Linked DNA regions of Caenorhabditis elegans. The protein of the gene in region 3 purifies or fractionates together with the protein of the main gene of each other region. This does not show direct contact. Each region holds a gene or a part of one and is shown on either strand. Other genes may lie near its edges.

What was found. Proteins that work in one complex are often made in the same cells at the same time.
Region 1: the proteins of sdha-1 (region 3) and twk-37 fractionate together in Caenorhabditis elegans (co-fractionation; one large-scale study listed by BioGRID). This does not show direct contact.
Region 2: the proteins of sdha-1 (region 3) and T10F2.2 fractionate together in Caenorhabditis elegans (co-fractionation; one large-scale study listed by BioGRID). This does not show direct contact.

What each region holds. Positions count from the first base shown.
Region 1 is NC_003279.8:6,268,829-6,273,619, forward strand, and holds twk-37 (Potassium channel domain-containing protein), read right to left. Parts: upstream 2,706-4,791; 5' UTR 2,683-2,705; coding exon 2,654-2,682; intron 2,608-2,653; coding exon 2,548-2,607; intron 2,228-2,547; coding exon 2,043-2,227; intron 1,995-2,042; coding exon 1,900-1,994; intron 1,845-1,899; coding exon 1,758-1,844; intron 1,680-1,757; coding exon 1,550-1,679; intron 1,435-1,549; coding exon 1,269-1,434; intron 1,187-1,268; coding exon 928-1,186; intron 871-927; coding exon 733-870; 3' UTR 592-732; downstream 1-591. Other genes in the region: oac-9 (Nose resistant-to-fluoxetine protein N-terminal domain-containing protein), read right to left, coding at 40-205; C10G11.8 (AAA+ ATPase domain-containing protein), read right to left, coding at 3,185-3,409, 3,451-4,353, 4,635-4,791.
Region 2 is NC_003281.10:5,163,168-5,167,490, reverse strand, and holds T10F2.2 (Mitochondrial ornithine transporter 1), read left to right. Parts: upstream 1-2,179; 5' UTR 2,180-2,199; coding exon 2,200-2,434; intron 2,435-2,803; coding exon 2,804-3,358; intron 3,359-3,415; coding exon 3,416-3,531; 3' UTR 3,532-3,732; downstream 3,733-4,323. Other genes in the region: ulp-1 (Sentrin-specific protease), read left to right, coding at 1-687, 764-842, 1,045-1,212; gars-1 (Glycine--tRNA ligase), read left to right, coding at 3,867-3,950.
Region 3 is NC_003284.9:8,541,749-8,547,902, forward strand, and holds sdha-1 (Succinate dehydrogenase [ubiquinone] flavoprotein subunit, mitochondrial), read right to left. Parts: upstream 4,274-6,154; 5' UTR 4,268-4,273; coding exon 4,191-4,267; intron 4,026-4,190; coding exon 3,844-4,025; intron 3,801-3,843; coding exon 3,554-3,800; intron 3,316-3,553; coding exon 3,053-3,315; intron 3,006-3,052; coding exon 2,420-3,005; intron 2,266-2,419; coding exon 1,917-2,265; intron 1,699-1,916; coding exon 1,462-1,698; 3' UTR 1,009-1,461; downstream 1-1,008. Other genes in the region: nspc-7 (Nematode Specific Peptide family, group C), read left to right, coding at 139-141, 188-490; D2021.4 (Acyl-CoA thioesterase-like C-terminal domain-containing protein), read right to left, coding at 4,750-4,914, 5,052-5,209, 5,849-6,083, 6,125-6,154. UniProt on the Caenorhabditis elegans protein: Flavoprotein (FP) subunit of succinate dehydrogenase (SDH) that is involved in complex II of the mitochondrial electron transport chain and is responsible for transferring electrons from succinate to ubiquinone (coenzyme Q).

The DNA of each region.
Region 1 (4,791 bases), on a different chromosome or scaffold from region 3:
GTAAAGTGACATTTTCATTTAAAAAAAAGCTGAAATTGCCTTCGAAATTTTTGAAAAGTTCTTGAAACTTGTTGAACTTGGTGTGATTGTCTTTATCGCCTTCAAAAATTTGTTGAAGAATTTGTTTTCCAGACTTGGTAAATGAGCAGCTGACGAAGGCTGATGAGGGTAGAAACGAGACAAGTATCAAATAGACGAGATTCATTGTTTTCATGGGAAAACTTTCACAAATGATAATCGAAAATAAATTGTTTGATAATTAATGATTGCGTTTTCACAAATGACGGTATTTGCGTGAGCTGCACGTATTCCTGGAAAATAATTTTCAGAAAGAAAAGAACAATAAATTTTTTTTAACTAGCCACAAACACCGTTGTTTGAGAGATTAAAAATTCAATTACCAAATAGGTTATTCACGAATGCGCTACTAAAATTAACTCCGTAACGAGAAATTGCACATGAGGTTATAGGTACGGCGCTGGGAGGTCAAATAAAAAGGCGGGTGTGAGGCGCCTCTGTCAAGCCTTTACCGGATTAAATCTCTAAATGGGCAGTTTTTTTTTCCTTTCATTGTGCAAAAAAAGAAGCTTTTTGTAATTTCTTCATTCTCTTAATGACGAAAAAGAATAAGAATTAAACCACAAAAAGAATATCAATAAAAATTGTAATAAGCAAAGAGATATTTTAAATTTTGAGAATAATCTGATATCAATTATGATCACTGGATCGAAATCATTCCTTCGCTGTAGTCGTTGCAGCAAGTTTCCGTTGAGAAGCACCAGGTGATATCATATTTGTTTCTAAAGTGTCGGTAGCATGCCGTTCATCGAAGAGCTCCAAAACTCTCATAAATCTGTTTTCCATCGAATGCTGAAATTTGTAAACTTTAGACACTTGGTTTCTTACAAGGGAATCTTCACAGCTTACATGAACGAGAACTAAAACCATTGAAATCAGTGATAAATCGATAAAGTGTAATACACAAATAATAGTTCCAGAGATATGACCTGACGGAACAAAATCTCCAAATCCAATAGTTGAAAATGTACTGAAAGAAAAGTACAAGGCATCATAGAATACAAACTCCTCATAGACAGCAATTGCAAGTGCTCCGAAGCCCCAAAATGTGACAAGAAGAATAAAAGCTTTCAGTACTGTCATCTTATACTTTGCCGACTTTTTGCCACTGAAAACTAAATAATGAACTCAAATAAAGATTTTATATGGAAAGTTGAGAAGAGGTTATTTATGTTTAAATGTTAAATTACCATTTTCGAACGCAAATTGCAAAAATTTTGAGTGTCAAATTGCATATTTTCAACGTTATTTTTCCATTGTTGCGAAGTACGTAGAGTGTTAGAGCAATTCCTATAATACCATAAGCTACAGTAACCAATTTACCGGCAATTGTGTGACAGACAAGTTCGCCGTACCCTGAAATAGAAAATAGAATGATTAGACGACACCTCGGGAGAAAATTTTAAAAATATTTTTCAAAATGTTCGAAATCAGTTTTGATACTATTTTACTTGTTAATCCCGAGTCATACCTATTGTCGTAATACAAGTGATTACATAAGCCAGCCCATCCAGAAACTCTTCTATATGCTTTGGAGGGTTTGAAGCGTAGAGTAGGTCAAAAATTTCTTTTATACAATTGTTGTTCAACTCATTATCTGCCTGAAATAGATGAAAATTGTATCGAGGCGTTTTCCGGGTATGCTCAATTGAAAGAGATGCAGAAATACTTTCACAAACCTTTTTCAATTTTCCACACTTGCTACCTTTCATTGAATTGTAGATGTGTATTGATTTCTGACGAATATTTCTTTTGAACTCATTAATCTGAAAATATTATCAATGAATATATATCTGCAACAGAAACAAAAGCTTTACAAACATTCATATCAGATCTCGATTCAATCTGCCAAAACAAGAGAGCTCCACCAATTATATATGCAACAAGAACCACAAATGCAATTATTGTATTAAATTCTGAAATTTGAAACATTACTTTAAGCAGAATATAAACCAAATCCTCACTTCGAATCTTTCTCAAAATTGTTCGTAATTTCGTTGGCTTCGGTCTTTCCGCTCTAGACTTTCGTTCAACAAATTTTAAAATAGATTGCTTTCTGACAAGATGTTGAGTTTCTGGTGAAGATTTTTCCATTTGCCTCTTTATAAATTTATTAATAAGTCGATCCGTGTGAGTTTGCATTCCATCGCTGAAAGACTATTGCAGTTTGGATTGACAGTGGTGAAGCAGTGGGTATTGTTTGAGAAGATTTGACAGCTATTCTGTCGTCTTTATATTTTCCTGGTGTAGATAATACAGAAACTCGACATTTTGCTTCAGCTTTTTCTCGCACATTGTCGCACATCTTTGCGGGTTACCCCTAGTTTCGAATTTTCCGCGCATTTCTTCGCATGCTATCGTAGATCGTCGCAGATTTTCGCGATTTCCCAGCTTTCAATCGCACGGAGCGAAATGTCGAGCATGTGGGTTACAAACTAATTTTCTTCTGTGGATTGTAGTTATACTCACCTATTAGAAGTGTGATGGTTAGAGCTGTGTGATTTTTGATTTGAAGGTATTGAATCTGAACTGAAAAATGTAGTTTTTTTTAGATGAAAACAATGATTCTGCAAACCTCGATTGTCTTCTATTTGATGCTACCATTGGGACGATATTGACTCCAAAAATTAGAACTGACTTTTAAAAAATCGATTTTTAATAGTTTTGGCCATCTCAGAAAATATCACGTTTCTTGGTTATGGTGGTATTTAATAATTTTATAATTTTTAAAACTGTACGTAAACAATTTTTTCAAGAAACTTGGCGAGCTCAATGAGTTTGAAATTTTTTAAACAAATTTGGATATTTATTTTTGTATCTATTTGAGTGTATACGACAAATCTCATCTTGTGTTAAACAGTAACACATTGAAACAATAAAATATTTATACTCGAGATCGGTATTCAAAACGCCTCGGATCAAGTTAACATAATTCTTCAAATTGAGGCTCTGGAAGGGAAAGAAACTACGAAAACAAACAGTCTATGGTCATAGAAAGACCAAAGAAATTAACTACAGATGTTCATAAAAACATCTGCACTGGCATTGTAAGAGAAGAAAGGTTCATTAGGGTAAACTCGTTTGTACTTTATTGAATTTCCGATTGTCAAGAGAAGAATCCTTCTGGTGCTCCGCCCTTCTTCGACAGCATAACCGATTTGACAGCCTTCTCAAAGTCATCCGTTCCGACACATTTTCGTTGAGCACGAAGAGCCAGCATACCAGCTTCCGTGCAAACCGCCTTGATTTCAGCTCCACTAATGCTCTTCTCCTTTCCCAATACATTCTCATAGGTGACAGCTTTCTGAATCGTCATTCCAGAGGTGTGGATCTAAAAATAAAAATTATTTAAGAAATGTTGAATTGACTAACCGTGAAAATCTTTTGTCTAGTCTTCTCATCTGGTTTTGGTAACTCAATCTTTCTATCAATTCGTCCAGGACGGATAAGAGCGGGATCCAGCGAGTCGATTCTGTTCGTTGCCATGATAATTTTGACATCTCCACGGCTTTCAAACCCGTCCAATTGATTTAAGAGCTCAAGAAGAGTTCGTTGAACTTCTTGTTCTCCACGTGAAGAAGTATCAAATCTTTTCGTACCAACTGCATCAATTTCATCAATGAATACAATCGATGGAGCCTGTTCCTTTGCCATTTGGAAGATTTGACGAACAAGACGAGCACCTTCCCCACTTTGTTTCTGAACAAGATCGGATCCAGTTGCACGGATGAATGTTGCAGATGTTGAGTTTGCAACTGCTTTCGCCAAAAGCGTCTTTCCAGTTCCAGGTTCACCGTAAAGAATAACTCCTTTCGGAGCAGTGATTCCCATTTCTTCATAGTACTCTGGATGAGTAAGAGGAAGTTCCACAGACTCTTTCAGCTCTTGAATTTGACTCTCACATCCTCCAATGTCATCGAATGTCTCTTTTGGTGTCTTCTCAACTTTATGTCCCATCGCATTGCTGTCAATCTTGTCATCCAAAACTCCAACGATTGCACTTGGAACTGTTTTGAACATTCCACCAGCCTTCACCATGACGAGGGCATTCAGACGAAGCAAGTCCTTGTCGACGATCGAGAGAATTGGTACGTACCATTCACGTCTCGAACCTTCAACGACCACAACGGCATGCTTCTCATCATCGAAAAGCTCGTGGACACGAGCCAATGTGGTTGGAGTTCCTCGGAGACTTTGAACTAATTGCTGTTCACGACGTTTTTGGACAGCAAGAGGGCGACCATGACGGCTTGTTTGACGAGTGATGAACTCTTTCTGTAATGAAAACAACTGTTAACCATTTAACTGCAGTCATAGGATCCCTACGCAACTGACATAAACAAAACAAAATTCTCTACGTCTATCCTACTACTCCAACCCTACAACGATTTGAAGTTCGTGTAATGATGACGTCATAGATTGCAAACTACATTTACTACAAGCTATGGCTTTATGAAGTGTTAAAGACCTCGAGTTAGATAAATTCCGCATCTTTGCTCTCTAGGGATGAACTCTTTGCTTTCTAGGGATGAACTGATAATTTAGTTTTCACAAACCTCCAACTGCAAGTAATCATGAATCCTGTTCATCTTGAGAAGGCGCACAAGACACTGTCGCTTTGGTGCAACTGTCGGAAGCTTGTTGGCGTTCTCGATGCCGCGTCGACCGCTTTTCATTGCGATCTTCATTGCTGCGTGAGTGGGCTTCTCCTGT
Region 2 (4,323 bases), on a different chromosome or scaffold from region 3:
CAGGAAACTCAATGATATTCTCTCGCAAATTAATAGCCTTGGAATCGGTTCCGCATATCGAGGACCGCAGAGATATCAGAATTCTTATCAATTGTCGAAGCAGAAGGAGGATAAACTTCTAGAAGAGGCTCGGATACGAGAAGGACATCGCTCTCAAACAAGAGGTGATCGATTGGAAGATGTTCGGAAGAGACTTGAATTGCAAGGAATCGCTATTCGTCCGAAGGTGGAGAAGAAGAAAGTTGATGATTTTATGGCTTTACCTGATGCTGCTGATGCTCTTGTAGAAAGAGCATGGAGCGGAGGGAATCCAAATGAACAATTTGTGGATGCATTCAGCATTCAGATCTGTAAAAAAGATCTTGCAACATTGAGTGGATTGCATTGGCTGAATGATGAGATCATCAATTTCTATCTTCAATTGATTTGTGATCGGAGCAATGGCGATTCGAAATATCCAAAGATCTATGCATTCAACACATTCTTTTATTCCAATATTGTTTCAAAAGGATACGCGAGTGTGAAACGATGGACAAGAAAAGTCGATATCTTTGCATTCGACATCGTTTTGGTGCCAGTTCATCTTGGAATGCATTGGTGTATGGCTGTTATCGATATGGGCGAAAAGAAGATTGAGTTTTATGACTCTCTTTATGATGGAAATACAGCCGTTTTGCCAGCATTGCGGTTAGTTTTTTGAGTGTTTTTGGTTTTTATTTAAAAAACTCACAGAGAATATATCAATAAATATTTTATATTTCAGAGGTTACTTGGAAGCTGAATCATTGGATAAGAAAAAGACAGCAATGAACTTTTCTGGATGGACAATTCAACAGATGACGGTATATTGAATTTTAAAAAAATTAAATAAAAAAAAGGATTTTTACTTTAAATTTATTTCTGAAAAAAAGTTTTTTTTTAGAAGTCCAGATGTTTGGCTCAATCACTCTTTTTTTGATATCTATGCTCTCTAAAACAACCAGTAATACTTCTGAAATTACACACACAAAAAGATCTTCAACACGCGATAATCATCTTGTTTAGGACATTCCTCGTCAACAAAATGGCAGTGACTGTGGAGTATTCTCATGCCAATTCGGTGAATGGGCATCTCGACGAACGACGCCTCGCTTCACGCAGAAAAATATGCCATACTACAGAAAGCGAATGGTTTACGAGATTGTTTCGAAGAAGTTACTCGCAACTATTTGATTCTAGAAGATTAAAAGTGTCATAATTCATAGTTTTGTTTCCGGAAAAGTAGCTGTAAAATGTATTTTCTTCTCATTGGGCATAATTAAAACTTATATTTTGTCGGTGTCGTAAGCCCGAATCATCTAGAAAGTCTTTAATTTTCTGTATTTCGAATTAACCATATTTCCCATTTTCGTAGCATTTCTTCATTATCCAAAATATCGTTGTGATTCTCATCACTAATTATAACTTTTGATTTCATTTCATACCGTGTAAAGAATGTTCATACAAAAGATTAAAGATGATCGACGGTGTCAGATCACATCACATTATCACTTGTCACGTGGTCATTCTCAGATGACGTTGTTTTGTTTCAAAAGGTGATGCAAACTTTCCCATCCCGTTTTTAAGATTTTTTTGTCTCTGTGGATCTCTGGCCTTTTTTCTCTTTTCTCTTTTTCATTCTTCCTTTTATCCGAGTTTTATTTGATTTTTGACGTATTTATTAACAATTTTCTCTCCCTTCCACCTTTCAATTCCCAGTTCAATAATATCAATCAGCTTTCTCTGTTATATCAATATATTTCACTCCCGATCCCCGTCACCATTGCAAGTTGCAATAAATACAATTTCTTCACTTTTTTTTCGTTGAAATTTATTTTTTTTTCTTCTTGGTTTTATTTTCAACCTCATGGTTATATATTTTGAAGTTTATACAGATTCAATGTTTTATTTTCTAAACAGAGGAAATTTAAATCCTCCTTTATTGTGCTCATCGTGATCACAAAGTCACAAAAAATTTAACTTCCCAAAACCAAAAGAAATTGTCGTTTTGTTTTCCTCCTCACGACTCAAAAGTTAAATTTTTTGTTTTTTGGTCCGAAAAACCAACAAAACCAGCTATTTAGCAAACAAGAAAAAATGATCGTGATCTAAATTTTCTGGAAATTTTCAAAACCATTTCTTCCAATTTTTGTTATTTCAGAAAATAAAATAGATAGAAATATGCATGAAAGCGGTGAACCTACAACTGCAACGGGTGATGCTTCAGCCAATCATTTTAAAGATGGAATTATCGATTTATTGGCTGGAACAGCTGGTGGAATTGCCAACGTGTATGCTGGACAACCATTAGATACAGTTAAAGTAAAAGTACAAACATTCCCGAATCTCTATTCAAATTGGATTGTTTGTCTCAAGGATACTTATAAATTGGACGGAATTCGAGGACTTTACGCTGGTTTGTTATTTTTGTTTCGAAAATTTTGAGCTTAGTCTGGATTTCTGAATCTAAAAAAAGAAAAACAATCCTTTGTACTGAACACGTTCCATGCAACTATAAAAAAGAGTACTTCTTGAAGTAAAAATTCTCACCCTTTCTGGGAAGAACAATATAACGTGTTTTCAAAAAAAACCTTTTTTTGCAAAAGTTTCAGATTCTTTTTAAATAAAATACAATTTCTAAAAAGCTTCCAGAAAGCTCAGCAATTTTTTTGAACGTTTTATTTCAAATAACGTAGTTTTGATTTGGAAGTCGAGATGAAATCGAAAAAATCTTGAAAAATTAAATGTAACTTGATTTCTAAAATTCATATTTTTCAACATCCAGGAACTCTCCCAGCTCTAGCTGCAAATGTTGCTGAAAATGCAGTTCTCTTCACTGCCTATGGTTACTGCCAAAAAACAATTGCCACACTGAATGGACTCGAAGATGTCAGACAAATGACACCATTGGAAAATGCATTCTCCGGATCTCTTGCCGCAGTTTTTGCAGCTACCGTACTCTGTCCAACAGAACTTGTCAAATGTAAACTTCAAGCAGCTCGTGAAATGAAGAAGAAGTGTACACCATTCTCTGTTTGTCGGGATATCATGAAGGATACTGGTGTCCGTGGATTCTTTGTTGGAATGACTCCGACTCTTGCAAGAGAGGTTCCTGGTTATTTCTTCTTCTTTGGAGCCTACGAAACATGCCGTTTCTTATTGACTGATGAAGGACAGAAAAAGGAAGAAATTGGACTTGTGAAGACAGCAATGGCTGGATCAGTTGGTGGTATGGCATTATGGACATCCATTTATCCAGCAGATGTCGTTAAATCGAGAATGCAAGTCACCGGAGGAGGAACTTTTATGTCTACTTTGGGCGCTGTCGTTAAAGAGAATGGTAAGTCATTATTGAGGGATAATTAATTCAATTTCTTATAAAAATTCAATTTTACAGGAATTCGTGGACTCTACAAAGGACTTCTACCAACCAATCTAAGAACTTGCTTCGCTTCTGGATGTCTTTTCGTCGCTTATGAAGAGACACGAAAGTTCTTCCACTACGTCCTCTAGATTATATTAATCTCTGCCTAGTAAATTTTTCAATTTTTCCTCATTTTTTCTTTCCATCACACAAATATCATCATGCTATGAGAGCTTTCTTCGTTGTTTCTCTTAATGTTTTTTTTCGGTTTCTAACGGTTACTCTGAGATTGCCATAGGCTCACTTACGCCCGGTTGTTGTTTTCTAAATTTTTTAATAAAAATTGTTTTTTTTTGTTATATTTAACCTTCAAAAATCCTAAATGTAATGAACATTTGTTCATAGTCACTTATTTATCTGCTTCTAACACTGGCCAATGCTTCTAATGATCTACAACTTTCTAAAGTCAAAAATCTTCCAGTTCATGTTCTCTAGTTGCTGGTTAAAAAGCAGCGTCCGATACTCGCGGTTAATAAGACAATTTTCATCGGAAAATTCATTTTTCAAGGTGAGAACAGATATCAAATTAGGTAGTGAGATTGAGGTCTCATCACGAATAGCTGGGCAAATCCTGTTTCTTTTTACACTCGCGCATGATCTCGTTGTCCATGCGGAAGTGAATCTTGTCGTCAGTATATCGGACTGAAGACACAATCGGCTAAATTGTTTTTCCTTTTTCTGTGAGAATTTATTATTTTCTGAAAGTTAAAAAATTTTAATACCTTTTTTAGAAGCTTAAAACAAAAATTTCAAACTTTGATGTAAATATCATTAATAAAAATGGTGTGAAATTGTTATTGTTGATCCGCAATTTAGCGGAAACGGTGTGCATGTACAAACAAATTCAAACATGATGAAATCTGACAGCCTTGCATTTCATT
Region 3 (6,154 bases):
TTGGAGTCTGGATTCCCTACTGTGCTGTTCATGAACGATTTCATCTAGTTTAATAAAATTGACTCCTACTGTGAAACAAAATTTATAAAATCTTTTGGCAGTGCTGGGAGAACATCAGCATTCAACTGATACCTCAACATGGTACGTTTTTTTCTGCTTTGAATGCAATAATTAAATACTCTTTCAGTTCCTTCGCATCCTCGTCGCACTTTGCCTTGTGTCTGCCATCAGCTCCATCACCTTGCAACTCTGTCAAGAATTCTGTGCTGGTGTCAATGGTGGTGAATCCTACGCATACTGCTCTCCATGGATCAGTTTTGCCACTCATACCAACAAGACTTGCTATAATCTCTGTGTTCATAACTGTGCTGCTGTCTACGATGGTTCCTGCACTACCGACCCTGACTTCAGATGCTGCTTGAAAACCACACCAGCGAAGACTCAAGAATTCAAGACTAGTGGCTGCAACAAGCTTTATAATAATTTGTGAAAGAAGGACTTTGCTGTCTTGATATAATGAAGGTTTTCATCAAAAACGTTTTTTGTCACTCACACAATATCATTAAATTTGTTTTTCTTACTAGAAGGAAGTGGATGTTATCTCCTGGTTTGCTGAAAATTATTTGCAATATGTGCCAGTACTTGCTGCTGCTTAATTGACTCCTGATGCTCAATTGTTTATTTACAGTACACACTTCTAGGAAATAGCCAAAAAGTAATGTAGCTATAGTTAAATAAAAAAAATAGAAAATATTGAGTAAAGAGCAATTCAAGGCCGGTGAAGTATTTGACTAGATGACCGACGTCGATGCAGAGCTTATCAAAACGGACTTTTTCATTTTATAAGCATCAATCAGTGGTTATCACCGTGTTACAGATACATTTTACAGGAAAGTATGTATTCGTATATGTAATTGAAATACGGTCATCTATTTGGAGTATAAATTTGTTTCAGAGTTTCCTCCATAAATGTTTTCAATTTTTTTTTGCGAAAAAAAGAATACACTTGCCTTGTTAAAACATAAAATAAAACATATAAAATAATAAAACATAAAATACTTTATACTGTGCCCTAATATTATTAACTGTTCTGCGGCACGTTCCTATTCAAATGACGATGGTGTCTCAAATACTTTATTTCAAAGGTTCAGCAATCTATTTTGCTACTAAATTACACACATCTACCAATAATGCATACACTTTTTTTAAAAATAGATAACAAAAACGGTGACACAAACTTAAGGAAGAATGAAGAAAAAACAATGAGAATTGAATGGGAGGGACGTTGAGGCGCGCGAATCTTAATAAAACGGGGAACGAAGGCAAACTGGTGACAGTTACAGTGTTGCATGGGCTGTTGATGAAAAATAGAGACAAAAAACAAAGTTTTTCGCAATTAGGGGACTATACAACTTGGGAGGGAATTCATTGTGGGGGGGGGGGGGGGGGCGGAGAGAGTGCCTAATAGGAGCGGACCTTTGGTGGCACCCAGTCGGTTTCGCTTTTGTCGAGAGTAGTGTCAATGACTGGACGATAGTCAAGTGAAACCTCTCCTGTTTCGATGTTCGATCTGATGATCGAATGCTTGCGCCAGTGGTCCTTCAACTCCTTCTTGGTCTGTCCCTCCAATGGCTTGCTGTAGTCGAGCTCGTCGAGTCTGTCAGGGAAGTCGTCACGAGCGTGGGCTCCACGGGATTCCTGAAATTTTGATGTCAGAAATTTGTTTCCCAATACGTTTTCCATTCATTTCTTTTTGAAATGATAATTTAATTAAAACGTGAACTTTACTTACATTTTTAAGCTTACTGTTAGAAACTAAGCCTGAAATGGGCGAAAAGGATCACGTGAAACACAACTATTCATATTTTTGGGCCAGGTATGCTATACAAGTACCTAAATGTGTATTCAAACCATACCTCTCTGTTCTCAGCGGCAACGATGGTTTGGGTAGCGTTAATGAGCAAGTTCTGGAGCTCGAGGGTCTCAATGAGATCCGAGTTCCAGACGAGTCCCTTGTCAGCAACGTTGAGATGAGCTTGGTCCTTGTACAACTTGGATAAGACCTTGACTCCCTCCTTCAAGATATCTCCACGACGGAATACGGCGGCGTGGTTTTGCATTGACTTTTGCATGGTGAGACGAAGCTCGGCAGTTGAGATGTCTCCCTTGTTGTGACGGAGTTTGTCAATGTTGGCAACGGAGGCCTCTCCGGCGTTCTTTGGAAGTTCTGGAACTCCAACTCCGGCAGAGGTGTTCTTGAGGATGCTGAAAAATAATAGTATAAAATTGTCCATAAAACGGTGGTTTTCGTTTTTTTAATTGTCTTGTTGGTGATGCCAACCAGGTACAAATACGCAGATTTTTTCGTTTAGCGCTATCTCCGATTAAAATAATCATACTCTATAGAATAAGCTCTTACTCAATAGCGCATGCTCTTCCGAAGATGACCAAATCCAAAAGGGAGTTGGCTCCAAGTCTGTTAGCTCCGTGGACAGAGTGAGCTCCGCATTCTCCTGCAGCATAAAGTCCTGGAACGACTTCATCTCCCTTTTTGGGTGTGTAGTTGAGAACTTGTCCCTTATAGTTGGTTGGTACTCCTCCCATATTGTAGTGAACGGTTGGAATAACTGGGATTGGTTCCTTGGTGACGTCAACTCCGGCGAAGATCATGGCTGTCTCAGAAATTCCTGGCAATCTTTGTTGAAGTTGCTCTGCTGGAAGATGGTGCAGTTGGAGGTAAATGTGATCCTTGTCTGGTCCAACTCCACGTCCCTCCATAATTTCAACAGTCATCGAACGAGACACGACGTCACGGGAGGCGAGATCCTTGGCGTTTGGTGCATAACGTTCCATGAACCGTTCTCCAGCGGAGTTCACCAAATATCCTCCTTCTCCACGAGATCCCTCAGTGATCAAGCATCCAGCTCCATAGATTCCAGTTGGGTGGAATTGAACAAACTCCATGTCAGAGTTGTTGATTCCAGCACGAGCAGTCAAAGCAGTTCCTGTAAATTATTGTAAATGTGTTGTTCAAACGTTGAAATTTACATACCGTCTCCAGTGCAAGTGTGAGCAGATGTGCAAGAGAAGAAGGCTCTTCCGTATCCACCAGTAGCGAGAACAGTGTTCTTTGAGCGGAAACGATGAATAGTTCCATCTTCAAGATCCATGGCGATGACTCCGACACAGACTCCGTTCTCCATGATGAGATCTAGGGCAAAGTACTCAACAAAGTAGTTGCAGTTGTATTGGAGGGAAGCTCCGTAGAGGGTGTGGAGAAGAGAATGACCAGTACGATCAGCAACACAGCAAGTTCTGAAATTGATTTTGTTTTAGATATATTTGGATAGGGAAGTTGTTTTTAACGGAGACGGGGAGGCATTACAATTAAAATATTCTGATTAAGTTGTATGAATATAACTAGAAATTACTCCATCTTAAACATGACTTGCGCCTCATAAAGTTTCATTTTTGTTAATTAAATTTCCGATAAATAACTTCGATAGCACAAATTTAAAACTTTACTCGTTAGTATTTCATAAAACTTTCAAACCTGTGAGCCTGTCCTCCACGTCCAAAATCGTTGGATTGTCCTCCGAAAGCACGCTGGTAAATTTTTCCATCGGTGGTACGAGAGAATGGCATTCCGTAATTCTCAAGCTCAATGACAGCTCTCTCGGCTTCACGAGTCATGTAGTGAATGGCATCCTGATCTCCGAGCCAATCGGATCCTTTCACAGTGTCGTAGAAATGCCAGCGCCAGTTATCTGGGTTCATGTTTCCTAGAGCAGCATTGATTCCTGAAAAAAAATGTCGAGATATTATTGAGGGAAAACTGCTAACCTCCTTGAGCTGCGACTGTGTGAGATCTGGTTGGAAAAAGTTTGGTGATAACAGCGGTCTTAAGTCCTCCTTCGGCAAGTCCCATAGCGGCACGGAGACCAGCTCCTCCGGCTCCAACAACAACTGCGTCGTAAGCATGATCGACGACCTTGTATTGAGCAATATCGGATCGCTTGGCATCACTGAAATATCAACAGTGAATTTTCGAGAATTTCTAAAAAATTTTCCTTTTTTTTTGAATTTACACTTGAAATTTTGGCCTTTTTCAAGTTCATTATTGACTTTCTTTGATTTATATGTTCAAAGTATGTACTAAATTTCCAAACTCGACATCTTCCTGATCTTACCTGTGGTTTGCAGCGGAAAGCGAAACAGAACGGGCGGCGACCGTGTTACGGAGGCCGTTGCTGGCGGCTCGGAGCATTTTTCCCTGAAAATCGATAAACGTGATATACATGCCAAAAAATTCTTATTTAAATTCACCGAAATTGTAAAGAAAAATGTAAAATAACCCAAGATTACCGCAAAAAAACAAGTACACACTCGATAAACAAAGATAAACGTGCGGAATTGCAATTTAAAATGAGTGTTGCACACCAAATGAACCGCTCGTAGACACGAAACGCGCCAGCAGTCCCTTTGGCGCATTTCACGAAGAGAGAAAGAGGAAAGAGGCAGCGTCCTTTTCCATTGCAAGGGTACACACCACGAGGGGAATACGACAGGAAAAGAAGACTCATAGAACGGTCAGAAATGTCCACGTTTGAAAAAGGAAAAATATCTGAAACTAGCGGCTCTTCAATGAAAATGATTAGAGTATAAGTTGTTATCAGTTATCATCAAACACTTTATATGAAATCACACATTTCATTTATTCAGAGTTAATATTCATGTTAATCACAAAAATTACAGTTTTGAGTTTTCTGGTTCGACTTCTTTTGGAACGACATATGCTTCCTGAATAAATGACATGACACATTCCTTGTTGCTGTCGAATACTTCCCCGAATATTTTTGCTTTGTTTCCTGTTGCAATTTCAGTTCTGGTTTCCACCAGAAACCATTGGATAGCCTGAAAAAATATTATACAGTGTGTTGTGCAACTTTTAAGAAATAGATATGACTTGAAAAAAACTATGGATTGTGTATATCTAGATTTGTATCAACTTTATCAGTTTAGCAAGTGCTACATTTTTTTTCAATACATACTTCAACCCTCTCCTGATGGAAGTGGATTTTGTGATGTAACGATGCTCCAGTGCTCATTCTAAGTCCAGCTTTGTTGATTGCATTTTGCACTGACTGCAGAACCATAAAATCAGATAAAGCTACAACCGCTACCATTCCTCCATCTTCTCGGATAATGTCTGAATTGAAAATTTTATGGGCATAGTTTTCTGATTTTTTTTGATTTAAAAATTTGAATAAGTAGTCAAATAATTGGTGTAACGGTCAGGAAAATGTAATCTTGCATTACTTTAATACCTATTTATAGATTTGGGACTTCAGCCTCATATAACATTACTAAACTGTTGATTTAAGTTGTAAATGCACATTTTCAACAGGTAAATGCAATTGGGCGGGCAAATCGAACGCACCGTTTTTCCCAGTGTCATTTCTCGAGTATTCATTTCACGTTCCAGATTTTTGGAATTTTGAAAACAGAGATAGTGTATTGCGACAAGACAAAAATCATAGACACTGTCAAAAAAAGGTATTAAAACCTTCTGTAACATCTCAAAGCTAGACACCAAATTTCCCAGAATTCGGAAACTGGACGTTCGGTTCAGCTCTATGAATCAGTAGGAGAAGTGAATGAAGTTAGAAATACGTAACAAATTTACAACTTTTCCAGAAAAACGTTTCCTTTGAACTTTATGGTATACAAATTTGTCAACAATAACCATCAAAATAAGCGGTATTACTTTTCTCAGAATTTCTGCCTTTTTGAATTTTTTTCAGTCAGCTATGTTTTTAATTAAAAGTTACGTTTTTTTTAAACACACCAATGCACTCTGGAGTAAGCCGTGCATAGTAAACCACTCTGTGTTCGCCAGAAGCCGGACCAGACAGCATATATAAAGGACGAATATCAAAAACCACGTGCTTCAAAAATAGTTCAAAATCTTTTCTTTGTTTTGTAGATAGCTGATTTTCAATTTGTCGTTCCATGTTTGGTAAAGATAAAAGTCCCGGCACATCCGATGGAAATGGTATTTTTCTGAGAAACTTGCTGTCAGTCTAAAAGGTTGATATTTAATCCTATCCTAAATTTTTCTAACTTTAATGTGAGCCAATCCAATTTTTTTGTT